Astyanax mexicanus: one gene and its partner. The protein of the gene in region 1 purifies or fractionates together with the protein of each later gene. This does not show direct contact. Links are inferred from orthologs where the notes say so. Each region holds a gene or a part of one and is shown in the gene's direction. Other genes may lie near its edges. The genes, in order: cebpa and mrto4.

Region 1 (15,778 bases):
CCAATCAGCGCTCAGCGCCGGGCAGGATGACGAAATGCAGCCTTTGACCGACAGCCCGCTGAACCAATCAGACGGTGAGACACAGTTCAGGGCGTGTTTATGTAACAAGAGAGTCATGAGATCATAGAGAGTGAATTATGCTCAGCTGGAGCGGTGCTGTTAGTGAACTGTGTAGAGTAAAGGTTCTCAACCTTTTCCACCTCACGACCCACCTGAGCATAACAAGAAAGCCCACAAGACAAAAGAAAAGAAAAGAAAAGGACAACTTATACGGCCATGACTCAATTACAGCTCTGGAAAAAAATGAAGAGACCACTTCAGTTTCTGAATCAGTTTCTCTGATTTTGCTATTTATAGGTATATGTTTGAATAAAATGAACGTTGTTTTTTTATTTTACAAACTACGGACAAAAAAAAATCTTTTAGAGCATTTATTTGCAGAAAATGAGAACTGGCTGAAATAACAAAAATGATGCAGAGCTTTTAGACCTAAAATAATGCAAAGAAAACAAGTTCATATTCATAAAGTTTTAAGAGTTCAGAAATCAATATTTGGTGGAATAACCCTGTTTTTTAATCACAGTTTTCATGCATCTTGGCATGTTCTCCTCCACCAGTCTTACACACTGCTTTTGGATAACTTTAGTCCACTCCGGGTGAAGAAATTCAAGCAGTTCAGCTTGGTTTGATGGCTTGTGATAATCCAGCTTCCTCTTGATTATATTCCAGAGGTTTTCAAATTGGTAAAATCAAAGAAACTTATCATTTTTAAGTGGTCTCTTATTTTTTTTCCAGCACTGTATTTTGTTCTGACACCTTAATAAGTCTTTCCCATGCATTAGGATCTTGTTCACATGCCTTAATAAGCAATGGCCACAAATTAATATATATTTTTAAGGCTCCATAGAGGCTCCATAAAAAATGTATATATAAAAATATTTTTAAGCTGTTTCCCTGTTGTCTGCGATGGTGACAGATGGTGACTTATTATGTTTATTTTGCCAAATTGCCTTTGGCATTACTCCAGCAATATGTTTCTATTTTTTGTTTTTCTATTATGTTTATGTAATTTTTATAGATTTTTTCTAGTGATGTTAATTGACTAAAAACTATTCTGTGATTAATTGTAAATAATCACATTTGTTCTTAATCCAAAAGAGGCTATCGTGATGTATGTGTCACAGGCCCTTCAAAAGCTGTGTAAAGTTCCTTACAGCACTATATAATATTTTTATTTCTGCTCCTGAAGTATCACTGACCTGTAGGGGTGTAGGAAAATACCAATATTGCATTGTAGTCCAGCATTAGGGTTCAGAACCACTCTACAGGACTTTAGTATTTTAAGGAGTTGCTTAATGGATTGGCAACCAGAATATATGAGAATAGACAGACATCACTAGCACTTAAATCAGTGGTTAAATTTGCAACAAATAGCATACTTTAGCAAAATTCCAGTAGACAGGCTGTTATGCTGGTAAGCTATGTTGGATCAAAATGTACCAGCACAACACAGACTAAAAAAAAGCAGGTTTCTAGAAGAAAACTCTTTATTAAAGCACCTTAATGGGTTCCTCTACTGCTTTAAACTGAAGAACCTCCTCAAAGAAGTTCTACTTTTAACAGAGTACCAGCTCTGAAACCTAAGGTTGGCCCACCAATAAGGGTGTGATATATTTTTGGAAAAGGCTGCTCACTAACCAACTGGCTTGCTTGCTACTATATTCATCCATATAATTCATTTTAAATTCTAATGGTGGGCTTATCCTGTTAAAACAAAAAAAAAAGAAAATATTTTTGTCTGTCTACTGAAACGTTGCCATGCTAGACAGACATAATGAGCTTTGTTAATGCTGTAAATTAAAAAATATAAATCTAAAACGCATTGTATTTTATCAAGAATTATTTACCTTTGTTATTGTTTACAGTGGTGACATGAGGTTAGACTAGTGTGTAGTTTGGTAAAATTAGCAAAAAATAATCAGGGATGGTGGGGGCATGTCTCTATAACTCTTGGAAATGCTTTACTTTGTCCCCAATACATTCTGAATTTCCCTATTGCCATTAGAAACCCATTCGGATGGAAACACACATTCTCTAGTGTAATCAGATATCCAGCCAGTATGCATTACTGGGCCAACTCTGACTTAGAGTCACCAATTTCAGCACAGCTGTGGGGCTGGATGGGTAATTATTATAGGAAATATTATTAATGAGAGCATATTTATGCAAATGTGTATCAGTAACTTGCATGGGTTGGTTCAACACAAATAACATTATTTTAAAATTTAATGCTTTAGTTAATAGTACAGCCCCATCCGGCATCCCTTTTTTAAGTTATACTACACTGTTATAACATAGAGAATAGATCAGTTCCTTTTATTTTTGAATGATATTAGCAGTTTTGGTCTTGTTATTTGGCTCTGCCCCATCATTTAGCACAATACTATACAGTGCAAGCATCTGTTAGCAGATATTAGAGAATTGGGAGACCAGCAGACAGTGTGACCTGAGGATCATTGGTTCCAATATTGGATCATAGTGCTTGCCATCAGCAGACGGAGTCTGAGAGAGCACAACTGACCTTGCTCTCTCTGTGTGGGTAGATGTCGCCCTTTCTCCCAGATCGTTCCTAATGTGTTGTTGGTCAGCACAGGCATCTGTTAGCTGATGTGTCGAAGCTCGGGTGCTGCACATTCCTCTGAGTGCAGTTGAGTGCATCCCCAGTGATGCTGCATCAGAGGTATTTTGATAAGAGGCAGGTTCTGACCCATAACACACGTATCAGAGGAGACATATGTAAGTCTTTACCCTTTTAGTGTTGAGGGGCATTTGTAGTGATAGAGGGAGTTCAAATAAATGGGGACTGGGTAATTGCCCTTACAATTTGGGGAGAAAATTAGGTCAAATTGCAAATATCCAAATGTGTTTAGCTGTCTAATGATGTCACATTATCAGCAGTTTAGAAAGCTGTAGTTGGACTACCCTGAACCATTGGGGTTTTGTAAGTGTAGTTAAGCCTGGACAGATTTGGTCATTCACTGTGCAGTGAATTACAGTTGTATGCCAAGGTTAAGGCACCCCTGGCCAAGATATCTATTACAGTAAATTGCTACATCTGTACACTGGGCATGTTTTCATGCATCAGGCTTGTTTAAGTGTTCTTTTAAAGACTTCTGAATCTGATGTTTGTGGCAAGGAAAGTTTTTCTTCCATCTTCCATATATTTGTAGGTGTCACTGCACAGTAGAACGGCGCACCACTACTTTAGAGTATGCTAAATATTTCAGAAATTTTAAGGTCTTAAAAACGAGTTGAAATAGGCTTTCCAGAAATCCAATAAGCAGTTCTCAACTTGACTACTTTAATTATTTTTATGAATTAGGAAATACTTTCCTTAAAACACTTTGCTTTGATTGTCTTGTAGCTGTTGATAGTTGAAGATATTTAGTCCTAGATAATTAAGTTATGAGACCTTAGTAAGAGTTCTCTAAGTGCTATTGGGTTGTACAATTATATTATATTATATTCATATAATAATACACTAACCCCTACCGTGATTTTGCTATTCTGTGTGTGTATTCAGTGCATGGAATCTAATATAACCATCACAATCATCTCGCATGTCACCAAATCAGAAAAGAAATCTGATCTAGGATCACAAATAAAAAGCTATTTTGACATTACCAGGATGAAGTGATTCAAATCAGGTTTTGTGTCAAATCAAACTGACACAGATTTGATTTTTTAGGGCGGTGTGAATATGACAATCAGATTTGACTACTTTTCACGTGTGTTCAGATACATATTAAATTTGTGAGGAAACAACATAAATGTGAACGCCCAGATCAGATTTAATGCATCTTTTTTTTAAAGCCCCTGCTTTAATCATAATTAGCCAGCACCAGTGTTGTGCTGAACTTTTTGTGCATGCATGTCAGTAAGCAGTATGGGCACAACAGATTATGCTTATGATTCCTGTTGTTTCTGTTTATGAATAACTATTATAATTAAACTTTCCTTCACAACAGCCACAGAGTCAGATTCTGTCAGGTAGTCAGATTCTGTCAGGGTCATTAATGAATGTGAATCATCAAGATCACCATTTTAATATGAGCGAAAAATCTGAATTGATTAATGGGTCCTGTAATGTGTGCAAAGTAAATAAATCAGATACAATACAGATAGAATAGATATGCAATATTGGACCACATATAAAAGTTACTTATTCAAATCTTATTTGAAAAAGTCTGGATGGCTTTGAAATGTCCACTCAACCCTAATACACATTAAGGCAAAAAAAATCTGATTAGAAACACTTTCTGGTAACGTGAATATGAGGCTGTATCCGTGTTTTAGAAAGGGCAAAAACAGAACTTGTTTAGTAGAATGTCTAATATTTTAACGTAATTGTTAGGAACTCAGCTCCTATTGACTGTGACCACAACAGTTTAATATCCAATGTATGTGAATATTAAGAATGTAAAACGTAGTCATCAGAGATGTATAGTAATGAAGTAGTACTTAAGTTTTACACTGATAAATGTTTATGTGCTGCATTGTTACTTATTCCAAACACACATTATCACTAAAGCCAGAGCGGCAGATGCTCTGTACTGTCACTGGGTTTGATGAAGGTGCTCATCAGTCATCACTGAGTGAATCAAGAGATCAAGCTGGTCTTATGAGAAGACCACACTGCTCCAATTCTGCATTTCACTCTGCTGCTTGCCTGTAATATTATATTCAAACTTTTGACTGCTTTTTGTAAGAACTACATAACACAATACTTTTACTTTTAGTACTTGAGTACTACATTTTGGAATAAACTAATTGCAGTACTTAAGTACAGTAAATGTTAAATACATTAATTGTAGAGCTTAAACTACACTTCAACTTCTACTCAAGTGACTTTTTTGATAGAGCACCTGCACTTTTTATTCAGGTCTCCAGTACTTTATACATGGAAGATAACATCATCATGCATAACCTACTAAATTGAGTAGTGAATTTATTGAATGGGTTAATGTGCAGTCCAGTTTATTGGAGGGTGTTAAACCTTTTATCTGTCCTATTTATGTTCACCATCTACAGTGTGGTTTCAGGAAATCTGTTAATGAGCAGCTTCTGACGTGTTCAGATTGTGTTGGACGTGTCTAGCATGACTTAGATTTACCCATAAAATGACGTTGTACATATTTACATTTCTAGCCAAAATATGAATGCCGGCCAATCAGGTAAATTATCTCAGCGGCCACCAAATGCATATTTTTTCCACATTGCTACATTTTTTGTTAACATAAAACGTATTGTTGCTTTTTGTTTAACCAACTTTCAGCTATTCAAACCTTTAAATTGTTTTTTTTTTACAATGTACTTGATTTTATATGAAATGCAATCTAAACTTTTTAAAGTTCATTACAGACAACAATGCAACCAAGACTTAGCTAATCATGCCAAGTCATTTAATTCAACATAAACAGAAAACAGTGTCCCACACAATGTCCGGTTATTGTGAAGATGTTTTTATTTAACGATCTCCTCGTGTGCGCTGTGTTTCCGAGTTTACCGTAACTGTTCCAGTCTGATACCGGTTATTACAGAAACAGCTCACGTTCTGGTGGGATGTGTATGTTAATATGTAAATGAAGCACTGGTGTCGCGCGCTGTAGCGGTAGAGGGAGCTCCCCGCTCGCCCTCTGCGCTGATGTGGGAGTGTGCGCGCGCGACCGTGTGTAGGCTATGTGTGTGCGCTATGTGCGCGAGTTTGTCGACGAGTTTGATTTGGCAGACTGAAGGTGAACACACGCACACACACACACACACACGCACACGCACGCACGCACACTTTTTGTGCGCTTTAATATCACACACGCTACTGATTTTAAGTTTAGATTAACGTTTATCATTATATGCATCATTATACTGTTTATTCATTTTTTATAAGTTTTTTTTATATTAGATTCAGCATCTATAAATGCGTTTTGGATTTCTAAGGTTCTAAACTGCTGAAAGCTGGCATTGAACATTTTTACTGCGTTTTACTGTGAGGCTGCAGAACTATCAGACAGAGATACCCACAGTACAACTGGTCAGCTGCGAAAGAACCAGTGCAGAATCATTTTGGTTCATGTTTTTTTAAAGGTTTGTGCTTTTGCTATTTTTTATTATTTATTTTATATTATTTTTATAGAAGGAAACTAACTTCAATAGATCAGGTTATACTATACAAATAAACTAATAAACATTTTATTAGCACGTTCCTGATCAAGTGTACAATTCAGTCGAATTAAACAGATACAAAAATTTAGATAAATTTTTATCTAAATTTTTAGCAATAAAGATTATTAGCGTGCAGATCAAATAAAAAATATGTATAGATCATATACATTATAACAATATCCTGTAGATATATACGATATAAGACTGTAGCTATATATTTTGTACATATACTAAAATATTGGTAAATACAAGCAATAGGCTATTTATTTATGCCTGGACAAGGATTAAGCCTAATAAAATACTATTTTATATTGTCCTTTTAATAGAGAAAATCTACATTCACAATACTGTGTAGTCCTAGATTTAAGACTAGACTTAATCCCTGTCTGTGAAACTGCCTATATATGTATTATCATTATTATTAGTGGTTATATATATTGATTGTTGCCGTTGTTCAGAGTGTGCAGTTAGGCATACAGCTTACTTACTCGTTCTGTTGCAGCGGAGTCTGCAGCTCTTTCTCTCTCTCTCTTTCTGTCTGTCTATCTCTCTTTCCCTCTCTCTTTTCTCACTTAATTTTGTGTCACTCTCTCCAAGTGAAAGTTATATTTATATAAGGCTAATATACAGTGTGTGTTATAGGCTATATAATATTTGCTTCGTTAAAACAAGACAGATGTGTGTTTTTTGGGGGATTTGCATGAACAATCTGAAGTCATATATCTCTTGGATATCTCTCTCTGTAAGTGTGTGTAAATGCGCTTAAAATCGACTCTCGTATTCAGAATATGAGGTGCTGCCAGGACTGCACGCTGTACGTGTGCGTTAGTTTCTGTCTCCCTTGTGTGTGTGTGTGTGTGTGTGTGTGTATGTGTGTGTGTGTGTGTGTGTGTGTGTGTGTGTGTGTGTGTGTCGCGTTAGGACCAGGGGCGCGGCCGTGCAGCTCGGCGCACACGGCTCTATAAAAAGCTCGAGCAGTTCGCTGTGTGTCAGACGGGAGGCACACGAGCTCAGTGAGAAGGTGCTGCTGCTCTACACGCACGCGCAAGCAGTCAGGCACGCACGCACGCATACTCACTCACTCACTCACCTACCCACCCACCTACCCATACGCACACACAAGTGCGCTCGCTCACACGTGCAGAGCGAGCGGGACCTGAGCGGGACCCCCGGCGGAGTGGCTGGCGCGCCTATACGCGGACGGACGGTCGGCGAGAGCCCGCTAAACTGGATTCCCGGAGCTCGTCACCATGGCCGGCGGCGTTTAGGTCCTCAATGGAGCAGCCCAACCTGTACGAGGTTGCCCCCCGGCCACCGCTCACCACCCTCTCTGCGAGCCCGCACGGCGCCTACTGCTACAAGGACGACCTGAGCGAGATCTGCGAGCACGAGAGCTCCATCGACATCAGCGCGTACATCGACCCAGCAGCGCTAAACGACGACTTCCTCGCCGACCTCTTCCACAGCAGCGGCGGCGGCGCAGGGGGACTTGGCGCACGGCACGACGCCAAGCTCAAGCTGGCCGCGGGTGACTACAGTGGAGGCTACGGGGACGGCGCGCCGCACGGCTACGGCTACGCGGGCGGCTACGTGGACCCGGTGAAGCTGGAGACGGCGTACGAGGCGCGCATGAGATCCGCGCTCGCCATCAAGCAAGAGCCGCGGGAGGACGACGAAGCCGGCCACGGGCCACCAATGCCGCCGCTGCCGCCACCAGCCTACCAGCACGCGCACCAACAGGGGCACGGACACCACCATCCTCCACACCTGCAGTACCAGATCGCGCACTGCGCGCAGACAGCCGTGCACCTGCAGCCGCCGGGACACCCGACGCCACCGCCCACCCCGGTGCCCAGCCCGCACCACCAACACCATCACCACCACCAGCAGCAGCACCACCACCACCATCACCAGCAGCACGGCGGCTCCATCAAACTGGTAGGAGGAGGAGGCAGTGGTGGTGGAGGGAGCGGAGATCGCTCCAAGTCCAAGAAGCACGTGGACAAGAGCAGTGTCGAGTACCGGCTGCGGCGAGAGCGCAACAACGTGGCCGTGCGCAAAAGCCGCGACAAGGCGAAGCTGCGCAACGCCGAGACGCAGCAGAAGGTCGTCGAACTGGCATCGGACAACGAGCGCCTGCGCAAGCGGGTCGAGCACCTCACGCGCGAGCTCGAGACTTTGCGCGGCATCTTCAGGCAGCTGCCCGACGGCTCGTTTGCCAAGGCGGTGGGCGGCTGCGCCTGAACTGACGGGGACGGTTTCTCTCGGTTCTCCCCTCTCGGTTCTCAGCTCCGCTACTCACAGCGTCCGCCGGATGGACTTCAAAGACGCGCGACACGATACTGAAAAAAGTGTTTTCCACACGAGCCAGGCAGCTGCGGTCTACATGTGCCTTTTGTACAAAAAAAATATTATTAATAATAATATTAATATTAATAATAATAATAATAAGCTCATGTCTGCACATATTTGAACTTGTGGACTTCATGGCTGTATTGAAGTTGTCTTTTCTGCCAACATATCATCATCATAGTCATCATCAGTGCAGCTCACGTAGGGCATGATTTCACTTCAAGCAACCGTCCTTCATGGTTCTGAAAGGTACCAACTTTTTCTACCATCACCCACAACCTTCACCCACCACCTTCATCCCCCCTCCAAGACTGTCTTTTTATGTTTTATTTTCTGCAAAGATAAATCTGCTCTGCGTGCACGAGCCTATTTGGTGTTATTTCTTAGAGACAAATACACAAAATGCACGTGCACAAAAAAAAAAAAAAAAAAAAAAACTTTGTTTTGTTGTTCTAAACATCTGCAGACATCGAAACTTGTTGAAAACTTGCAAGGCAAAGACATAGAAATAAAGGTGCGCAGATCAGATAATCAGATGAACCATAGTTCAGTACTGTAGTCTGGGATGTATTTTGACTGTAATGATGTGGTCTATGGGGGGCCGGTGGTATTGGGGCGGTTGGGGGGTTATGTATCTGTATGTATGCGTTTTTGTATGTGTACGTAAAGCGGACTGAACATGATGCCAATGCCATGCCAAAGCAAAAGGACTGGAAGCCCAAACTCTCTAAACTGTGGTCTAAACTGCTGCCTTCAGAGCAGCGGATTTATTATATGCACTATGTGTGGTCAGACTGATGGACCTGACGGAGCGCACGATTTTTTCGGGGTACTGATGTGTACAAGCTTTGTATTTATGCAGTAACGATGCTGGGTGGAAGGGTGTGTGTGAGTCTGTGTGTATGTGTGTGTGTGAGAGAGAAAGAAAGAATAAAAGAGTGTGAAAGGAAAGAAGGGGTCACCCTGCGCTTTCTCATCCCACCCCACCCCCGTGAAGTGCTGTTTGTAGCTCAGTTCATGTTCTTGTTGTTTTTTTTATTGTTTTTTTTTTTTTTTGATGAACTGAATTTCAGTGCCTTTCGACTTTTCCTGTCTCTATGTCACCACTGGCAGAACTTGTTTCTCTCTCTTTCTCTATGTCCCTCTCTCTCTCTCTCTCTCTCTCTCTCTCTCTCTCTCTCTCTCTCTCTCTCTCTCTCTCTCTCTGTTTCTATCTCTATCTTTTGGACTCTGTAAATCTTTGAAATACAGGCTAGAGCAAAGGAAAAGGAAGCACTTTTTTACAAACCGCCTATTGCAAATGTTATATGAATGTTTTAAAAATACTTTTTTTTTCAATTGTAAAATGAACATTATATATGCCAAAAATTTACAAATTATAATAAAAAGAGTATTGTGTTACATTTCCTCTTGCTGCTATCTTACTTCCATAGTGCTTACAAAGGTCAACAGACCTTTGAACTGATACGTGTGTTGGTATCTGTGTATTTCAGCTTCAAGACATATTTAAGAACCAGTTTAGTAAAAAAAATTATAATAATATATACTCCACAAACTCTAGACTTGGTTTAGAAATTGTTCAGTTATTAATCCTAATGCAGAAACAACTGTGAATGATTTGGTAATCATTTAGTTTAGCATATCATTTGGAGACCTACAGGGTTCAATTTTGGGGGCTATGAAATTGATGATAATTACGACAGCAGTGTTGTTATTAGAATTGTGGGCTTATACACAGTTTAAGGAGTTTAAGGGGTTAACTGCTAGAGAAAGAAATAGAGCATTTACTATAATGCTCGTTTGACCACTTATTAACTGTGTGTTGTGCTAACATGCTGTAGGAGACCCTGCATGTTGCAGTTTAAAGGTTACAGTACAGTAATGATTCTAAAGCTGAAGACTCTGAGTCTCTTGAGGATCAACCCCCTGTTGCTCTTGCCTCTAAGCAAATCTACTCAGGTGCAGTTATACTGTTTGCCAATAGACGGCGCCTGTAAGTCGCCTGACTTCTTTAACTTCCATGAGTCATGTTGAAAACACTGCTGATTACAACTCTGTAACTCTGGCATTGTTTTGATACAAAGAATACAATGCAGTATCATTAAAAACCCACCATGTCTAGATACAGATGTAGGTCCAGGTTTCAACACATTTACAGTGTGCAAAACTGACAGACATTCACTCTTTAACTGTATTCAAATGAATCCACAGCCACCACACCAAAAACAATTGATGCATTTACCTTAGAAAGTGACCAATTCTTACATTTACCATCATTATATTCTACAGTGTTCACCTAAAGGGTTAGATTCCATTCTTTATACACACATTTCCCTCCAAAAAAATTTCAGTCCACACAAAGACAAAAATGAAAAAGAGAGAAGCATTAGATAGATAGATAGATAGATAGATAGATAGATAGATAGATAGATAGATAGATAGATAGATAGATAGATAGATAGATATTTTTTTTATTCTAAAGAAGCACAAACAACAATAATAGGGGCGGTACAGCATAATTAAAAAAATAAGGTGCAGTAAGAAAATTAAAATTTCACTGCATACATTTTGAAAAATATTTTCACCTACACAAAGAGACAGAAAAGAGAAGAGGTAAAACTTTGAAAGAAAGAAACTGAATGTTTAAAACAACATATTTCCTTCTAAAAGAAAGAAAAAAACAGCTTTCCCTTGAAGCTACATACACACATATCTGGTTAAAACCAAAAAATCCCTCTGTTTTTTAAAAACATATATTTTAGTCCCCACAGAGAATTAGAAAAAAATAGAAAGAAATAAGCATTAGAAAGAATTACAGATTTACATTTAAATCACCCTCTCTTTTCCCTTTAAAAACAAATACTATTTCCACTAATACTACATTTAGACACATCTGGATATGTATTAAATAACTGAGATTTGGTTTCCTACATTAAAAAAATATATTTCTATCCACATGCAAACACAAATTATAAAGAAGGACGCATAATACAGAAATACGTTTGAAAAAGTAAAACAGTAACTCTCTCCACCTCCACCTAAAAGAAAAGACTGCTTTCCAAAACAGATATTTTCTCCCCTGATATGTTAAAAATATTTCAGTCAACACAGAGATTAGCAGAGTAACTTACATTTGAAACCCATTTCCCTACTCAAAAAGGAAAAAAAAAAACTTGCATAAAATGAGACATCAGGGTAGAAGTTTAATTCTAATACAGCTTCTTAAAAGTTGTGTTCCGTGCAAGAATTCTGGGTTTTAATTAAGGGAATCAAAATAGCGTACTATGTATTTATAATAGAACAAGCAGCATTTACATGCATTCATATTCATATTCATATGTTCTGAACAGCCTGAAAGCTACTGATATCAAAGTGTATACGTTGTAGTTTTATGACTTATCAAGTTAAGAAATTTCATTGTCAATTCTGCATATTGTCACTGTCCAATGAAAAGCAAGTATCTCCAAAACAGCGACTTTACAGGAAAGAGAAAAAACCTTCTACACTTTCAATGGAAGTCAATGTAAAATTGACTTTCAAGTTTCAGGGAATTTGAAGTATTTCTATTGGTCCGTTCATCAAGACATTCTGACAGTTTAAGGGACAGTTTGTTCAAATTCTGTAGTAAACTAAAAATCAGCAAAAATGGAGGTACTTGTTTTTCATTGGACAGCGATGATATGTACATTACAGAGAACTTTGGTTACTTTCTTTCCCAAAGTTACAGAAAAACACCCAACAAAAAAACAAAGTAATAGTTGACTAAAGTACTGCAAAATACAATTATAAATCATAAAAGAATGAAAGTTTATAGACAGACATATGTCAGACAAGAGACACTAGACAATAGTGCAATAGCAGAAAGGTGTGTTTTGTGACATCAGTGTTTTTTTATTATTAAAACTAATTTTCCCCAATCCACATAACAATAACGAAGATGGAGTTCTCTAAAACTTCTCCGCCTTGGGTTTTTTTTTTAGAGATTCCTCAAAGCACCTTAACCCCTTTAACCCTCTATGTAAACCCACATGTCCAATAACAACACTGTTAATAATAAGTATCATCTATTTCTTCAAGGGCCTTAAAATTGAACCCTGTAGGACTCAAGACCTTGAGGGAAACTAGCTCATTAACAGTTGTTTCTGCATTGGGATTAATAACAGAACAATAGCTGAACTGAATAATAATATATTGTTATGGCTGCTATGGGGTTCATTCATAGTTTCAAATGGAGGAGCCTCTAAAGTTCCTAAAAGTGATTGGACTTGATTGGACCGGATTGGAGGCTCTAAAATCCCCTTAATCTTGTTTAAGCAGCGCAGTCAGCGCTCCTGAGTGTGTCGGTGGTAATCATCCCCTATAACAAATATTTACTATCAGCTCTTACATATGCTGTAGATCACACATTACACTGCTGCGTCATCGGCGGAGCTGATAGCCGCTATCTTCCTGACCGTTCGTCAACACCAGTGATTGATTGGGGCTTTTGTCTTCATCTTTGAATTGATCAATTTGTCAGAGTATGATCAACAATTGAACACCACTGATAAGCACAGCAACTCCAAAGAGGCAGATAGAGTGAGTGAGTGAGTGAGTGAGTGTGTATGAGAAAGAGAGAGAGAGAGACAGAGAAAGAATTAAGCCTAATGCCCGAATCAGACTACACGAATTTAGCCCGATTTCGTCGGATCCGTGTAGTATGACATACAGGGGTTGGACAATGAAACTGAAACACCTTTCATTTTAGTGTGGGAGGTTTCATGGCTAAATTGGAGCAGCCTGGTGGCCAATCTTCATCAATTGCACATTGCACCAGTAAGAGCAGAGTGTGAAGGTTCAATTAGCAGGGTAAGAGCACAGTTCTGCTCAAAATATTGCAATGCACACAACATTATGGGTGACATACCAGAGTTCAAAAGAGGACAAATTGTTGGTGCACTTCTTACTGCCGCATCTTTGACCAAGACAGCAAGTCTTTGTGATTTATCAAGAGCCACGGTATCCAGGGTAATGTCAGCATACCACCAAGAAGGACAAAACACATCCAACAGGATTAACTGTGGACGCTGTAAGAGGAAGCTGTCTGAAAGGGATGTTCGGGTGCTAACCCGGATTGTTTCCAAAAAAACTTAAAACCACGGCTGATCAAATCACGGCAGAATTCAATGTGCACCTCAACTCTCCTCTTTCCACCAGAACTGTCCGTCGGGACAATAAGTTATTGTGGTCTAAAACCAGGTGTTTCATTTTCATTGTCCAACCCCTGTAGTCAAAGAGAAGTTTTCTGGACCAGCGAAACAGAATAAAAGTTTGTTGAGCTGTGGCATCAATACCCTGCCTTTATTCTGTTTATATTCTTTATTTATTTATTCTGTTCATTCCTTTATTCTGTTTCCATGCACTGAAACCTAGCTAAAGTAGCTACATCTTTACTATACCTCAAGTTCTCTCTGGAGTACACAAAGCCCTTGATGATCTCTTTGGGTCATCCAGGAAAGAGGCCACAGTTGCTTCTTCCTCTTCTTTTTGTGTTTTTCTAAGCACAAAAGCACTACCATCACTCAAAGCGCTTCGGTAGCCATGATTGTCAGATTCTATGCTCCTCTCCCGCGATGACCTACGAACTGTGTGCTGCCAGTACGACACAAAACAAAGATAACTGCTTAATCTGACCTAGTGAACATTGTGAGGGACAAAAAATGGTGTGTAGTCTGAGCTTTGCATGAAAGAGAGAGAGAGAAAGGGAGAGAGAGAGAGAGAGAGAGAGAGAGAAGGATATGTGTGGAACCTGTGGAGGCTTGATCATCGGCTCTCCTGTTGCCGTTCACAGTGTTTGAACACAATAAGCAGCAGAGTGTGATTGAGTGAGTAAATCAGCCCTCCACACGCTCTCTGATGAGCAGGAGAGAATGATGGTGCTGGAGGAATGCACCCGCACGCACCTACTTCACCCCTCACAAACACATCAGATTCAAATCAGTAAACCCTCTCCACCTCCACCTATCACCACCCCCACCCCTTTTCTACTAGTCTTCTCTTTTTTTCTTCTTTTCACTGCTCTCGCTTTGCATTTCTTCTCTCTCTATTCACTTTTTCTCTTTTTTGTCTCCCTCTCTTGCATGCTCTCACTTTTTACTCTCTTTCTATTTTCTCTCTTCTTGCTTTCTCTCTTCTTCATTTCTTTCAATCTTTCTCTCCATCTATTCATCTTGCTTTCTATCCTCTTTCTCAATTTCTCTCTCTCACTCTTTTCTTTTTAATCTCTCTATTTCTTCCCATTTTCTTCCCAATTTACACGACCAATTAACCCACCCACTCATTAGGACTCCCCCTATCACTAGTGATGCCACAGCACCAGGAGGGTGAAGACTAGCACATGCCTCCTCTGATACATGTGAATCAGACTGCGCCTCTTTTCCAACATTGGCGAGTAGCATCACAGCACTATCGGAGGAAAACGCAGCAACTCGTTTCCGATACATTTTGTTCTGCGGACATCACCTTTTGTAGTGTAGAGAGCGTCATCTACGCACTCAGAGAAAGCAAGGCCAATGTGCTCTCTCAGGGCTCCGGAAGCCGATGGCAAGCTACATGAACAGAATTCGAACAGGCAATCTCCTGATCATAGTGGCAGCGCTTATCCCGCTGGACCCTTTGGAGCCCCCCTGTCTTTATTTTTCACTTGTGTCTCATTTTCATTTTCTCACTCTCTCTCCTTTACTCTTTCTTTCTCTTACTTTTCTATATAACTCTTCACTTTCTTCCTCTCCTCTCACTTTCTCTTACCTTTCTCATTTCTCATATTTCTTGCAATTCTTGTTTTCTTTTGTTTGTCTCTCGCTTTTACATTCTTTCCCTATTCTCACTTTTTCTATTTTTCTTTCTCTGTTTCTCTCTATTTCTCTCTCTTCCACATCTCTTTTTCCTATCTCCTGTTACCATGGTCTCTCATGTCATGTTCTATTTCTCCCCTTCTTGCTTTTTCCTCTTTTTTTAATCTCCTGTTTCCTCTTTACACCTTCTGTCTCCTCTTCTCACCTTCTCTCTGTTTCTCCTGCTTTTTCTTTCTCTCCAACTTTCTCTCTCCAGTTCCGATCTTTCTATCCTGCCAGTTCAGTGTTCAGATGTGAATAATATCCACTGTATACGTGTGTGAGTGCTTCCCTCTGTTTCTCTTTGGCTCTTTTTCCTACTTTGTATTCAACCT
Region 2 (15,741 bases), on another chromosome or scaffold:
CTTAGCTTTACTAACTACCACCGCTACCACCACCCAGCAGCGAGACCTGCTCAATTAAAAAGGAAAACACGGCGACACCCCTGTTCCTTACTATTGTCACATAATGCACCTTATAATCCAATGGGCCTTATGCATAAAAATATAAAATTAGACCAGAAAATAGACATTGATGTACTGGAATTCACTGCATGAGCTTAAGAACACTTCCAGAAACAACTGTCTGTGAAGACAGTTCATCGTGCCATCCACAAATTTAATTCTTTTAATACAATACTTCAATACGAGCCCTTTAATTAGACAACAGCATACCAGTTGGTAAATGTGTCAGCAACCCAGTTACTCATTGGGTTACTGAAAGCCAGGATGTGGTGACCACATGAAAATAAACCGAGAACCTGGGTCTGTTCCCTCTCTCCTTCAGGCCTGCATGGCTCCTTCTCTTTTTGGGCAGTAAGGCTGCATTCGCTGGTGAGTCAGCACATGCCTGGATGAAGAAGCAGTAGGGGAAGCTCCATAACAGCATCACAGCACAGTCCCTGACTCACACACACACACTCACAAACACACTCACACACACACTTTCCCCCTGCTGACATCTCGGCATGCTCTTGTGTGGTCACTCAGGTACGCATTAGTAATAATCCTCACAACCCAAATGAAAAGCCATTCATAAGGATTCTATATAAGGTCATCTCAGGACAGCCACAGACTGAACACAACACAATGAGGCTTCTTAAGCTTTCGCAGCTGCTCTCAGATCAGTGTGTGTGTATATGTGTGTGTGTGTGTGTGTGTGTGTGTGTGTCCCTGCAGACATCCCAGGAATGCCTGGAGCACGCTGTAGTTACAGTAGTTGACGCGATCGTCTGGCTGAAGACAATCACCCTGCAAGGAGATGTTTTATTCATGCTCTTCTCCTCCTCACACTGCAGTAATTTACTACCAGTGTCTGATAGCCTTTAATGTGTCCATGCACTCAGAATCTGAGCTTTAGTAGTGTGTGTGCACACTCCACACAGTCTTAAAAAACTGTACTCTACTGTGCATAAAACACAGTGAAGCTCAGTCTGTGTAATGACGGTAATAAGAATTTAAGGTTAATTTCAGATTTGGTTCCTTTAGCCCTGTACAGCCAAATGTATTATATATCATACATTTGAGGTTTCTTTATATCATTGTAATAGAAAAATACAGAATTAACCTGGACATTTGCTTCTCCTAGCCTTGCCTAGCCTCTCCTTGGGATTAGTAGACACTAAAAAGTACTAGAAACTTTGTCTTTGTAAAGGAAGATGTTTTTGCAAAAAACGCTGTCCTTATTTAAAAAGACAGTAGTTTTTTAACATTTAAAAATAAATAAAAAGGAGCTAGTGGGTAAAGGCCTTAAAGAAAATAATTTTAAATGGTGAATCGCCATGTCAGTCAACTGTGGAGCTTCAACAGTGGCAATGGGAAGCAAGGAAACTGTGCCAATCACTGGCTAATGGTGGAATTGGAACTAATAATTACCAGCACATGACATTATAGCAGTAGAAAATTCCTACGTAAATATAGCAGTAATGAAAATAAAATATTTTGGAATGGACAATTTTCAGTTTGGAACGGCTGGCAGAAGGCCTTAGGGCAGTTCTGTAAAAAAGTCAGTCAGTGTAACATTGATTCATTGATTCAAATATGATACATAAAGGTCCTACATGCAATGTGTTACTTCATCTATTTTTCATTATTCAAATTTCATTATCAAATGTCATTATCAAAACTTTAAATCACTGAAATGATTTTGAGTTAAAGGGTTATTTGTGACTGGTACAGAAGCTTTTAACATGGTTCTTTAAACATGGTTCTTCTTCATTAGTAAAGAACAGTGTTTCCCAAGACTGGACCACTTTATCTTAACACTTTAGGTAAAGACTTGATGTATCTGAATTGATTAGTTGGGTCAGGTGTTGGGTCAGGTGTTGGGTCAGGTGTGCTGGGGGCAGGGAAAGCACTAACAAATGCTAGACAGTTGGCCTCCAGAACCAAAGCTGAGGCCCCTGGCTATAGAGAAATGCTTTTGCATTGCCTTATAGGGAATACGTATAATTACATCAAGTCTTAAATGTACAACTCCACAAAAAGTGTATTTACTCCCTAATAGAAGGTTCTTTACACTTTCTTTAAGAAAGCATTGTATGAAAAAACATCCGTACACTAGTAAAAACCTGATGTGAAGATCATTTAACTTTATAAGTGGTTCTCCAAAATGAGAACCAAAATGGGTTCCTGTGTTCCACATGATTCAAATAACTCTTTCTAAATACTTTTTAAAAATTATTTTAATTTATAATGCATATTGTAGGTAGCCAGCTGCTGCAGGTATAAGGTACAATACCAGTCAAGAGCTCATTCAGTGTTTTTCTTTATTTCTTTCTTAATCTAAACCTGATGAACTGAGATGGTGATTTGAGGTGATTTAATTGGGATGAGCTGGAGCTTCACAGCGTGAAGGAAAAGCAGCAGCTATTGTTCAGCACCTCCAGGAACTCCTTCCTTCAAGACGCTGAGAAAACTATTCCAGGGGACTCTCCCTCATGAAGATACTGAGATTAAAATCTCACCAAGAGTCTGCAGATTTGTCCTCAAAGATACATGTGCTATTTAGAAGAATCTAAAGTATAAAATATATTCTGTTTGTTTACAGAATAATTCTGCATGTGTTCCTGTATAGTTTTTAAATAGTCTTCCATATTAAATTTACAATGTAAAAAAAATCATTAAAAGAAAGAAAACACATTGAATATTAAGAGATGTTTCCAAACTTTTGATACAGTGTTGGTACTGTATGTTTTCCCAACAAAGTGGCAACGCAGTATACTGTATGTTTAGCCAGCCATTTGTTGGTGAATGTCCACTGTTTTCATAAAGCAAATGAATCCCAAAAGCTCATAGAAAAGAGAGCAATGCAGAAAAATACAGAGAACAGGATGAAATGTCCCACATTCCTTTCAAATGACTTCAAACACCTAAGTAATTTTTGATCAAGCGCCCACATACGGCTCAGTCGCTGCTCATTAGAGCCAGAAGTTCTACAGAAGCATCTCCAGGCAACTCCCTTAACAAACAAACAAGCCTGAAAAACACAGAAGAGAAGTTTCCTTCTCATAAACTGGCGACTACTGTTTCCTTTTTTCTGCCACAAGTGATTCAGCTCAGAGATGTGATAATTATCTGATGATACTGTGTGTGAGGGGAAAACAGGGAAGTGTAGGGGGCTTCTAGTGCCTCCAGTGTGGGACGGTTCCAGAGTATATACCGTACAGTACATAACATCATCAAAAGATTCAGTGTAAAGTACAAGTCAGCCAACAGTCCATACTGGATGCTGGTGATCTTCGGACCCTCAGGTGGCACTGCGTTAAAATAGGATATGATTCTGTACTGAATATCCACAGAAAATTGTTCAGTTAAATGTCCCATATTCATTCCTTCCAAACAACTTCAAACACCTTAGCCATTTATGATCAAGTATCCATAAGTAGGTAATTACAGCCAGAAGTTTTACAGAAGTATCTCCAAGAAATGTCCAAGTATGTATTATAAGAAAGCCAGTCAACTATGGAAAAACAACTATTTAACACTATTTAAAGGAACAATATGTGAGTTCTGAGAGTAAATAATTTCTGCCACATGCTAATGCACCAGTATCTCAGACCAAAATTAATTGTTTATTGTTTATTAAGCCTCTCCTGCTTGATTATTACAATGGTGTTACAAAGACCAGGAAAAGCAGCTACTAAACACACTTTAGAATCTTCAGCCTGAATGCTATGTTTGTTAGCATTGCAGCTCCAACTCTACCTAGGCCAACTGTTAGCATTGCTGCTCCAACCCTGCTGAGCCAGGCTTATAGCATCATGGCTAACTTGGTGCAACTCTGCTAAGCCTGACTGTTACTGTGTAATTGTGACTATCCTGATCCAAACGGCCAAAGATCCGAACAACGTCATTACAGAAAAGTCAATCAATTTGGCGACCAACTTTATTAAGTTATTTCTAGTTATGCAGGACCAGCTTTTCATCTATTTGAATAGGGAGAGACCACAATTCTGGAAACTGAAGGTCAGATTACTGTTTAAAAAAGACATTTTAAATCGTGATAAAGACTAGTAGTAGCGTTTGTCTTAATAAAGCACAAAAAATGAGATTATTCATACTGGTATGGATAGTGAGCTTGCACAGATCTCCATAATGAGGAAAGGCTTCCCCACCAGCATGCCAACACTTGATCTCTATTGGACTGAATTGGCTCTTTTTGTTGAAGGGCTTGACTTTGACTATCCATAAACAGCGACTAAGTTTAGTGTTCCAAGAGATAGTCTCCATATTAATAACGTCTTTGACTGTATATTTTATCAAAATATTGCTAGAAAACTTAAAAAGTTAAGAAGGTGCACCATTTTCAATTCCTTCCATGGTTTGTAAGTATAACATCCTTACAAATACAGTATTAATTCACCTGAATGACCATGTGATATTACTAAAATCTAGGAAAATCATCTGTCCATTTCAGTAATTTCCCAGCTGACACATATCTGATTCATCCCATCACTCAACGACTCCATGATGTGATTCCACATCCAGTATTTGACTAAGGAAACTGTGCTGGACACCAGCCTCGCAGAACTAGAGTTAAGGACCCCTGCTGTGGGCTATGAATTACTTAGCTATGCTGAACCAAGAGCCTTCAATACCCTTTATTCATCAAAGCCTGTCCTCCAAAAACACATTTTAAAAACACGCCCCTTCCTTTGGGTTCCACTCTAAAGCAGTCTGGTCATTTTTGCTGTTCTGCTGCCAAGATATTCCACTGCAATGAATCAGTCTGCCTTCAGCAACAAAAAACATGGAGCAGAGGCTTTAAATCCAGTGCAGTTCTATTAAGCTGTAGACCTGCCATGTTTGGGAAATGTTACAAAAAGGCAGATTTCAGGACTGTACTGTAAATCAGTCTGTACTCAAGGAGTCAATGTTTGTAGGTATTAACTAATTTCAGGACCAGCTGTGGTTTTATAGCATTGGGCCTGGACTGGGGCTCAAGAGATCTAAGTCAATCTAAAGCCATATATAATCAGAACCAGTCAAAGGTTATCTTTATTCATTTCTACATTGTAGGATAAAATGCAGAATACCAAAAGTGTTTGCCTGCCACAGTCACATGACCTAATGCCAATTAAAATGGCTTGGGATGAGTTAGACCACACATGCAAAAGAAAAGCAGCCAACAAGTTCCAGACATTCAAGACTGTTCGAAAACAACTTTAGAAGACCTTTATCTCACATAGGCAAATATCTCACATATTTCACCTTAAATTATGTTTAGTTTTGAAACCACTACTATTACACTTTTACTTGAGAAAAAGCATGAGTTGATACTTCTTCTATTTCTATCTGAGTAATCAATAACTGTAACGAGTAATGATGCAGCACATAAAAAATGTATCGGAGGAAAACTATTAAACTCATCCAACATATGTGGTAAAGTAAAAGTGTAAGTAGGAGAAAAATAATACTCCAGTAGATACAGATACAGTATTTTAGTACTTAAGTACAGTAGTGAAGTAAAAATAATACTCCAGTAGATACAGATACAGTATTTTAGTACTTAAGTACAGTAGTGAAGTAAATATAATACCCCAGGAGATACAGATACAGTATTTTAGTACTTAAGTACAGTAGTGAAGTAAATATAATACCCCAGGAGATACAGATACAGTATTTTAGTACTTAAGTACAGCTCTGGAAAAAAATAAGAGACCAGTTTAGTTTCTGCTTCTCTAATGTCGCTATTTATAGGTATATGTTTGAGTAAAATGAGCATACACACTGCTTTTGGATAACTTTATGCCACTTTATGCCACAATTTGGTAAAATCAAAGAAACTCATTATTTTAAATGGTCTCTTATTTTTTCCAGATCTGTACAGTAGTGCAATAAAAAATAATAGGTAAGTTGTTAAGTTTCTGTTGCTACAAAACAACAAAAACGAAATTAATAAATGAATGAAGAACAATGTTTTAACATGTGTTTTGTTGCAGAAGTATGTATATTATTGAAATGAATTAAATATTTTTTCCCTATTTTTCATATGGTAATGTTGTAAAATTGTTTAGGGCCCCCTATTTGGGACTCAGTATAAACACAGTAGGCTGTAATGCATATATATGAATTTATGCAGTATGAAAGCACATGAAGATAAACATGCTGGAGTGCTGAAATCACTCATCATTTAAAAATATAAACTAGCCTTATTTAAACAGGACACTTACTTTCTCTTGTACTCGTCCCTCTCTCTCTTCACCTTGGCCAGTACGTTGTACAGGGCTCGGAGCTCCGGAGTGATGGTATCGATCTGCACCCCGACCCCGTCCGGATGGGTCCAGGACACCCCGGGCCCGTGCAGGGTCTCCACCCGCTCCCCGGACCTCCGCACGTGCGTGTAGCTCCAGATCGTGCCGGGCAGCCGCGGCTCCTGCGGGGAGTCGGTCTGCACCGCGACGTCCCGCGCGAACAGGCTGTGGTACCTGGCCCGCTCGGCGGCTTGCTGCAGCTGGCTCTCCAGCAGCTTGTTCCGCCGCTCCAACTCGTGGACTTTGGCGAGGAAGCAGCGGAAGCGCAGGTTCAGCGTCTTCAGGACGTGGATGTTGGAGCCCAGGTCGTTCCTCAGGGCGGCTGCGGGCGCTCCGGACCCTCCGATACCACCGATACCTCCCGGGAGGGTCGTGAGCATCGCGGCGGCCGGGGGCAGACCGTCGCCGAATAGCAGCGAGCTCATCCTGGGTTGAGCCACTGTGTGTAGCGCTGCGGTACGGCTGCTGCGGTACTGGAGCCAGCCGCTCTATCTGTATGATAGAGCTAGCGCTAGTTAGCTATCCGAACAGTCCAAACCCACTGTTTTTAACGTCTGCCCACGTCTAAAACATCCAATAAACCTCCAAACTCAAGCGGAACAGTGACGGCGAGTGACTCCACCATCACTATGCGTATTTTCCTATCTTTTCAGCATGTTTCAGCAGTTTTTAACCAGTTTGTAATTATTCAGTCCATCCAGTTAGTTAATTCGCGTCTCAAGAGCGGGTCAGCTCGACTTCATCCTGAGAAATCGCAAAAAAATAAAATAAAAGTTTTATTTCAGCTTTTATCACTTAAAACTCACGTTTTATACTACTAATAATAAAGCACTGTCACCTCCCCGAGCTGTCACCTCCAGCTCCTCTCACCGCGTGCTCCTTCAGCAGTAGCAGCAGCAGAAATTCAGCAGCCCGGTTTCTTGGTTTATATCCAGCAGATAACGGGTCGTATTACAGCGGCGCTAAAGCGCAGTGACCGCATCGAGAGCCACGCCCCCCTCCGGTCAGAGGCAGGAGTCGGACTGCAGGGCTACAGGCCACGCCCACTACAAACACGCCCATTGCATAAACCACGCCTACATTCGTTCCATGCCCATCCTATGCGTTCAGATTCTGAGGAATAAGATCATAAACTAATAGATTTTGATAAAAGTAAATAATATATATTATTTTAACTCAAGTAAAAATGTGAAACTGCTTAAAGTATAAAAAAAAATTTAAACCATATTGTCTATAATATTAGGTTAAAATGTTAACCATTTGAACCCCAGCCTATTTTGTCAGTTCCCCTTTGACTTGTTTAATAACACAGTTATGTTAGGAGACAGCCACATGCTATTATTTTCCTTCATACCAGAAGACATAGAGCTGCTCAAAAATGTCATAATTTGAGAAGTAAATGTTCCAGAATTTATAAATCTTCATGGAATTCATTATGTTTTGTTAAAAGGTATAAAAATATATAAAAAAGTATAAAGGTATATCACAGTATAAACCAATAGGGTGTCGCAATGGTATATGTTTATACTCCTCATCCAATCTATTTTTAAAATTTAGGGAGTAAAAAGTTCAGATAATTGTGTGAAAATGTGAGGAGTAGAAGTAAAAAGTCATCTAAAAAAAATACTTTCTCCAGTAAAAATAACCTTTTGAATAAGAATAGATCTCCAACAGATTAAAACACAAACAAGTCAAGTGCGTAAGGCAGAGTGGAGTGTTCACGGCGCACTTGTGCAACTTTTTTTATGAACATAGTTTGAATTGTTACTTTGCTATATTGTGATTATTACACCAACTTTATATAAAATAAAAATAGCATTAAAAAAAAACTACGCCTACGTCACAGACACAGCACTGCTGTATCTGATCCACCTGTACCAGCACAACACACACTAACACCTCATACACCACCACCATGCAAGTACAGTCACTGCAGTGCTGAGAATAATAAGACCTTCCATCAAAATAATAACAGTAATAGCTGCTCTGTGGTGAAAAACTGGATGAAAGGAAGATAATAATAATAAAGTAACAAATAAAATATGTAAATAGAAAAGTAAACAGATACAGGACTACAGTCTGTAGTTATATAGAACTATAAAGTATCCTATGTGATGGGTTTCTGTATATTTGCCACAGTAACAAGATATGATTCATTCTTTGCAAAAGCTTAAAAGCCTATTGCTGTATGTTATGACCTGTCTTTCCATCGTTATATAATAAAGGTTAATGAGCCATCATCTCTAGAGAAGAGTCAAATTATTATATAACCCTGCAAGCGTGTGCAGTCTCGAGCATCCTTCAGAAATAATCATTTCTCTGAAGCATCTCAGTACCTGCTCTTGAAACACACCTAATATGAGTACATTCTTACATAACCGTGGGCTGTTTTATAATCTGATTTCTACAAAGTGGCTCAGATGCAACTCTCCTTACATTTACTCAGAGGAAATGTGTGTTTTGTACAGCTTACCTAGCAAAAAATACTGATTCTTCTGCTTTAGAGCAATAAAAATATGCTTTGTATATCCACTTTTGTAGATTAACTAATTTAAACTGAGAAAGATTGTTGTAATGGAAAATATTTGTTCATATTGAGTAATTTTAAAGGTTTTGCAGCCGTGGCAAGAAGCAGGCTGCAATACTGCAGTAAATACATTATATTTTCAATAGTATCCAGACAGGCCTCCTGTTACTATTACAAGCTGCACATACTGCTGACAAAGCTAGTCAGGCATACTGTTGTACAGAGTGTATGTATGATAAGCTCCATAGAAAAGCACTGACCAATAGAACGGTGTTGGCTAGAGGAGTATAACGACCCCCGAGCGTTTTGGGACTGTGTGGCAGTGGAACTGTGTTCTATGGAGTGATGGACCTCCATTCAGTGCATTAGGGATGAGCTAAAGTGGCATTGTAATCCATAGCACATCATCCAACATCCGTTCCACAGTAAAATGAATGTTTTAATGTGTCAGGGAATGCAGGCAGAAAGACGTGGAGGCGGACGCAAATGCAGGTAATGCGAATTTTTATTAAATAAATAAACAATGGGGGGGGGGGGGGATAAATACAATAAATACAATGGGCAATATAGTTTAACTATATTCAATCCTTTAGAAGAATTCTCCAAATCAGTGAAAGCATTAAATTGGAAATTTGAGACTCATTTATTTTGTTGATTTTGGCGCCACCTGTTGGTGAAGAGCTGTAACTTTCTCATCACATACCTGCTTCCTGCTTCACACATGCTCTCTCAGGCTCTGCAGGCTGCGGTAGGGGGCAGTGCGGGGTTTTAGCGCAGTTTCTAAGTCTTAGAAGAAGAGAGAGAGCAACGTGAGAGCCATGCCGAAGTCGAAGAGGGATAAGAAAGGTATTTAAACCGGTTTAAAAGTGTTTTCGTCGATATTTTACCTCAATAATCTGCTTTATTCTTAAAGAAGTCACTGACTCTTCTTAGATTAGCATTAAAACCTACAGAGAAACGGCTGGGCAGCATGCCTGGCTAACAGGCAGGAGCTAAACACTACCAGCGTGTGTGTGTTTGTGTGTATGTACATAGTTTTAGTAAAAATATGGATTATTTTCTGGCTTTTCTTCCTTTTTTGTACATAAATAACAGTTAAGCTGTAGCTGGTGATGCTTTGTTAGCTTTTTACACTCATTTTGGCCCTTTTAGCTTGCTGTAAACCAGTCAACGTAGTTAACTTAAACAGTATGGGTCTGTGGATCATGTAGTAATGTGTATTTATATGTTTGTTTTTTATGTGTTTTGTGCCTTTTCATTAATTCATAAACCTTCTTTCTCTACAGTCTCCTTGAGAAAAACAGCCAAAATGAGTCTAGAAGCAAAGCAGAACCTATTTATATAGTTTTAGTAAAACAAAATAGTTTTAATAGTTTTAGTAAAAGTTTTAGTAAAAATATGGATTATTTTCTGTCTTTTCCTCCTTTTTTGTACATAAATAACAGTTAGCTTGCTGTAAACTAGTGAACGTAGTTAACTTATCCAGTATGGCTCTGTGGATCATGTTGTAATGTGTTTTTATATGTTTTGTGCCTTTTCATTAATTAGATAACCTTCTCTCTTTACAGTCTCCTTGACAAAAACAGACAAAAAGAGTCTAGAAGCAAAGCAGGAACTAATTATTTAGTTTTAGTTTTAGTAAAAATATGGATTGTTTTCTGTCTTTTCTTCCTTTTCTGTACATAAATAACAGTTAACTAACAGTTAGGCTGTAGCTGGTGATGCTTTGTTAACTTTCTACACGTGTTACACTTATTTTACCCCTGTTAGCTTGCTGTGAACTAGTGAACGCAGTTAACTTATTCAGTATGGGTCTGTGGATCAGTTTTTTTTATATGTTTTGTGCCTTTTTATTAATTAATCAACCTTCTCTCTTTACAGTCTCCTTGACAAAAACAGCCAAAAAGGGTCTAGAAGCAAAGCAGAACCTGATTGAAGAGGTTAGTGTTTTGTTCTTTTTCTTTTTTCTTCATATTAGTAAAATTAGGTCTAGTTATTTTTAATACACCCCACATTTACGTCAATTAATTTTTGTTAAGAGCAACATTACTGTTTTTAAAATGTTATCAGTGTCCTACCATGACCTTCCCTGCAACATCTAGAGAGCTAATACTATTGCATCTAAAAAAAATGAATATCATTGAAAACTATTCACATTATTTTATTACAGTAATTCAATTCAAAATGTGAAACTCATATATTATGTAGATGTATTAAACACAGAGCGATCTATTTTAAGCGTCTATTTATTTTATTGTTGATGATTATGGCTTACAGCCAATAAAAACCCAAAAATCTAAAAATTTAAGGATATTATATAAGACCGATTGGTACTTTTGTCAGTGTGGGCAGTGTGCCAAGTCCTGCTGGAAAATAAAATCCGCACCTCCATAAAAGTTGTCAGTAGCAGAGGAAAGCATGAAGTGCTGTAAGATTTTGTGGGAAAACAAAACTGCACTGACTTTAGACTTGATAATAAAACACAGTGGATCAACACCAGCAGATGACAGACATGACTCTCCAAACAAACCATCACTGATTGGTGGAAACTTCACACGAGACCTCGAGCAGTTTGGACTGTGTGTCTCTCCACTCTTCCTCCAGACTCTGCTCCCTTGATTTACAAATGAAATGTAAAATTTACTGATGGTATATTACACTAGTATATTCATTCTATAATCAGGTTGGTTTGTTGGTAGGTTGATAGATTTGTAATCTATAAAAGGACCATAAAATAGTGCCTAACATGTTATATTTCATGCTATGCAATATTCTGTAATGCCTGATTTGATATATGTGTTAATGTATTAATTTGTGTATCATCATCTCTCCTTCCAGCTCAGAAAATGTGTAGACACATACAGATACGTGTTCATATTCTCTGTGGAAAACATGAGAAACAACAAACTGAAAGATATCAGAGCAGCTTGGAAACACAGCCGGTGAGAGATACTAAATATACTTTACTGAATTTTCTGAAACCCCGTTGTTTTAGTGTATTTTATCACAGCTGGAATGCTAAGTTGTGTATTTTCTAATATAAATGCATGTTTTGTGTTTAAGTTTCTTTTTTGGAAAGAATAAGGTGATGATGATCGCACTCGGGAAAGGACCAACAGATGAATACAAGGATAATTTGCACCGGGTATGCAAATTATTTAACTATATTCACAAATAAAGTTATGAAGAAGCTTTTGTGCTGGGTTTACAACCTTGTGCTTGTCTGTCTTATAGGTCAGCAAATTTCTGAGAGGAGAGGTGGGCGTCTTGTTCACGAACAAAACCAAGGAGGAGGTCCAAGAGTAAGTGCTATAGTGTTGAAATTATGAAAAAACACATGGTCTTTGAACCAAAAGATGCACCCAAGTCTGCCTGCCTTGATTTAGTATAAATTGTCTTAATTATCTTCTTTCATAGACTGTGCTTTTGTATGGGGTTAAAATAAACTCAAATCTCGCATTTTGATGCAGTGTTGAATGTTTGTGTCCTTGTTTAGGTATTTTAACAGTTTCAAGGAGGTAGATTACGCACGGTCTGGTAATGTTGCACAGATGGCGGTGACGCTGGACGAAGGGCCGCTAGAACAGTTCACACACTCTATGGAGCCCCAGCTCAGACAGTTAGGACTGCCCACGGCTCTCAAAAAAGGTAAAAAAAAAAAAGCTTTTGGAGAAAAAGTTTTTTCATTTAAAATGATTTAAACCAACTTAATCTCTGATTTTGCTAGAAATCACATTTTACAGTATTCTATTATAAAATCAGAGACCACGCATTGTTTGCTTCTTAAGCTACGCTAAGCAACTACGAGGCCAACGTCAAATTTCATGCCTAAATCAGCAGATGCATCAAATAATGTCAATTTTTTAAGTAATCTCAGTTGATTGGCTTATCCCCTTAAAAGGCCTTGGCCCGTATACAGGCTACAAATGTAGATGATACAAAACCCTATTTCTCTACAATAAAAAAAAAAGTTATTTACATTTACATACAAACCTTTTAGGGCTTTGGAGAAACTTCCTGTCCACTCTCTTTCTACTTTACTTAATTTCAGATTAGTAAAAGGAAAAACCCAAATTCTGCATGTCTGAAAGTATACATGAAAGACTAGACATCTGTAACGAAACTAAAGGTTTGGAGGACAAGCAATGTTTGTATGATGAAAATATTGATTTAAAAAAAATAAGGTTTAGAAAGCACATTGACTTTTTTTTTTTAATTTGTTTTATTTAGACAGGTTTACTTTTAAATGTGTAAATATTTTCTTACAATTAGGATATTTAGTAATGTTTCTTATCATGCACGAAACCTTTTTATGTAACGCTAAATTAGAAAATATAGAAATATCAATTAATAGAAATCCTCAAGATTTATGCAGGTAATATCAGAAAGAAAATTGACAAAAATGCTGTCCTGTTGGTGGTTTAAGTAGTTTTTGACACTGAAGAACACACTTTAAACACTAAAGAACATACCAGTACAGACAAATTTCATTTTTTTGCTAAGGCTGATTCTGCTGGTTTTAGCCAGGTGACATACATTTGTCATTTATAGGGATAAGTGTGTCATACATTTGAAGAAAAAACATAAATAAACCTACTTTTGAGATTCCTTTTAACGTACATGGATTTTGTTAAGTTCCCACTAATGTAATTACACCCAAAAACATAATATAACTTTGGAGGTTTAGTCAAAAATGTAAATAAAACCTAATAATCTAATAACTTGCCTAATGTTGTAAGACAGGCTTATGACTGTATAATACGATTTATATAATACCATGTTATTTCTTATTATATTATGACGTCCAGGCTGATTTATATGTAACACCTCATTCATAATGATACAGGATGCAATTAGTTAAAAGTAAGCTTTGAGATGATTATGTAATCAGATAAGTGATAGTGAAGTGAATAGTTTGCACAGTGCTGTTCAGGTTCTACAAACTTAATTTACATATAAACCACATTAGTCCATAACTCTAAAGAGGTGAGCTTCAGACACTAGCCTCGACTCTCAGTTATGTTTAAATTAATGGGAAATTGTTTTAATTTGTTCCATTGATTTTAATCCGAATTTTCAAAATGCTAATGAAAATGTATAATGTGTGTTTTTTTGCAGGAGTGGTGACATTAATAAAAGATTATGAAGTGTGTAAAGAGGGAGACACGCTCACTCCTGAACAGGCTCGTATCCTGGTGAGTAGCCTTGACATCATTTCGGGCTTTAGTAGGGCTGGGAGGTTCATTTAATTAATTAAATTCATGAAAATAATGTTTTAATGTGATTTCCAAAATGGCATAATTGAGACTGTTCATCTTTACACATAGAAGCTGCAGAGTGAATCTCAGTTTATAGATATTTGTTTCTGTCAGAAACCTGTAAAGAACCTTTTTTTATGTTGCAGTGATTATATATTATATATATTTCACTCTTTTCCTTGAAATACAAGGAGGTTATTTTTGCACCATGTTTAATATAATAAATGCTGCAGTTAAGATAAAAGGGGGCTGCTTACAAAAAAAAGAATAAAATATATGGAAAACTACAGCTTGTGCATCACTTTTACATGGTGGTGTTTGTTTAAAATAAAACAACTGAAGTTGTAAACTGTGTGAGGAATACGAATCTTAATTGTAACACTCGTATTTTAACAATTGAGAATTTTTTTTTTTATTTTATTTATTTATTTTTAAACAATAACATAAAAAAAAGATCTGTACTAATCTGTACTAGACAACATTAAGAGGTATATGTGCAGTTCACAGGTGGAAATGCATACATTATGCAACCATACATTTAATTATACTTTTTAGTTTCTAATTTTCACATGGGTATTTCTTGCTCTTATAAGTAATACTGTTGTAATTAATTCTATAAAAAGTTATTCTGCACATCCTAAAAAAATGTGGCTTCATGTTTTATTGAATTTAGATAATCCCAGTACATTTCAGAATTAAAATAAATGTAATAAAAATAATGATGAACTGTCAGTTTGCTGTAGAGGAAGGTACAGTTTACACTAAATCAGGGTTCTTCGATTTGGGTCCAAAGAGACCAGTGTTTTTTTGCTGGCCTCTTTGGATTAACTCATTAATTAATGATCAGGTTAAGTAGATGTTTCTGCATGATATTATATATAAAATTCATCTGTTGGAGACTTTGCAGCTGTATTTTGTATCTGTATAAAGACCTTAAAAACACTTAGAATAAAAGTGATGTTAAAGAGTGTATTTTAAGTGAATGAAGAGTATTCTATTCACAGAGACTGATCTGATCTCTTAATTTATTCCAGAAACTCTTTGGGTTTGAAATGGCCGAATTCAAATTGAGCATAAAGTGTATGTGGAACTCTGAATCTGGAGACTTTGAGATGTTGGATGGTGATGAAGGAGACCAGAGAGATCTTGAGGAGGATGATGAAGAGGAGGATGAAGGGATTGAATAAACTGGAGGAGGAGTGTGTGGTCAATGGACTTTTTCTCTTGGATGTTTTATATCAGATTGTGCAAGCAGACCTTCAGCAGCAGGTTATATATCTGTGTGTTTTGTTTCTGGAGTGTGTGATCCAGACTAACCGTTACCCAGCAAGTTCAGTTTTGTACATCATTGTGTTTTTGATTCTTTCCTTAAAATATACATCAATAATGGAGGTTATCAGCTTCTGTGTGGAATCCACTACCTCTGATAAGATAGAAAAAAAACATAGGGCTGTTTGAAATTGTTCACAAAACTGTCAGCTTCCACATTTACAAATGACATGTAATTATTAATGGATATTGATCTCAAAATGACTATCAGTAAAATAAATGGTGGATTGGATATCAG

Evidence for each region.
Region 2: the proteins of cebpa (region 1) and mrto4 purify together in Homo sapiens (affinity purification with mass spectrometry; 3 studies listed by BioGRID and IntAct, with this or other methods). This does not show direct contact. The link is inferred for Astyanax mexicanus from reciprocal best matches to the Homo sapiens genes CEBPA and MRTO4.

Annotation. Positions count from the first base shown.
Region 1 is NC_064430.1:12,439,999-12,455,776, reverse strand, and holds cebpa (CCAAT/enhancer-binding protein alpha), read left to right. Parts: upstream 1-7,193; 5' UTR 7,194-7,494; coding exon 7,495-8,463; 3' UTR 8,464-9,974; downstream 9,975-15,778. UniProt on the Homo sapiens protein: Transcription factor that coordinates proliferation arrest and the differentiation of myeloid progenitors, adipocytes, hepatocytes, and cells of the lung and the placenta.
Region 2 is NC_064431.1:3,981,724-3,997,464, forward strand, and holds the start of mrto4 (mRNA turnover protein 4 homolog), read left to right. Parts: upstream 1-9,636; 5' UTR 9,637-9,734; coding exon 9,735-9,762; intron 9,763-10,797; coding exon 10,798-10,856; intron 10,857-11,754; coding exon 11,755-11,858; intron 11,859-11,979; coding exon 11,980-12,061; intron 12,062-12,150; coding exon 12,151-12,218; intron 12,219-12,412; coding exon 12,413-12,564; intron 12,565-14,034; coding exon 14,035-14,111; intron 14,112-15,208; coding exon 15,209-15,361; 3' UTR 15,362-15,741. Other genes in the region: iffo2b (intermediate filament family orphan 2), read right to left, coding at 6,309-6,814. UniProt on the Homo sapiens protein: Component of the ribosome assembly machinery. Nuclear paralog of the ribosomal protein P0, it binds pre-60S subunits at an early stage of assembly in the nucleolus, and is replaced by P0 in cytoplasmic pre-60S subunits and mature 80S ribosomes.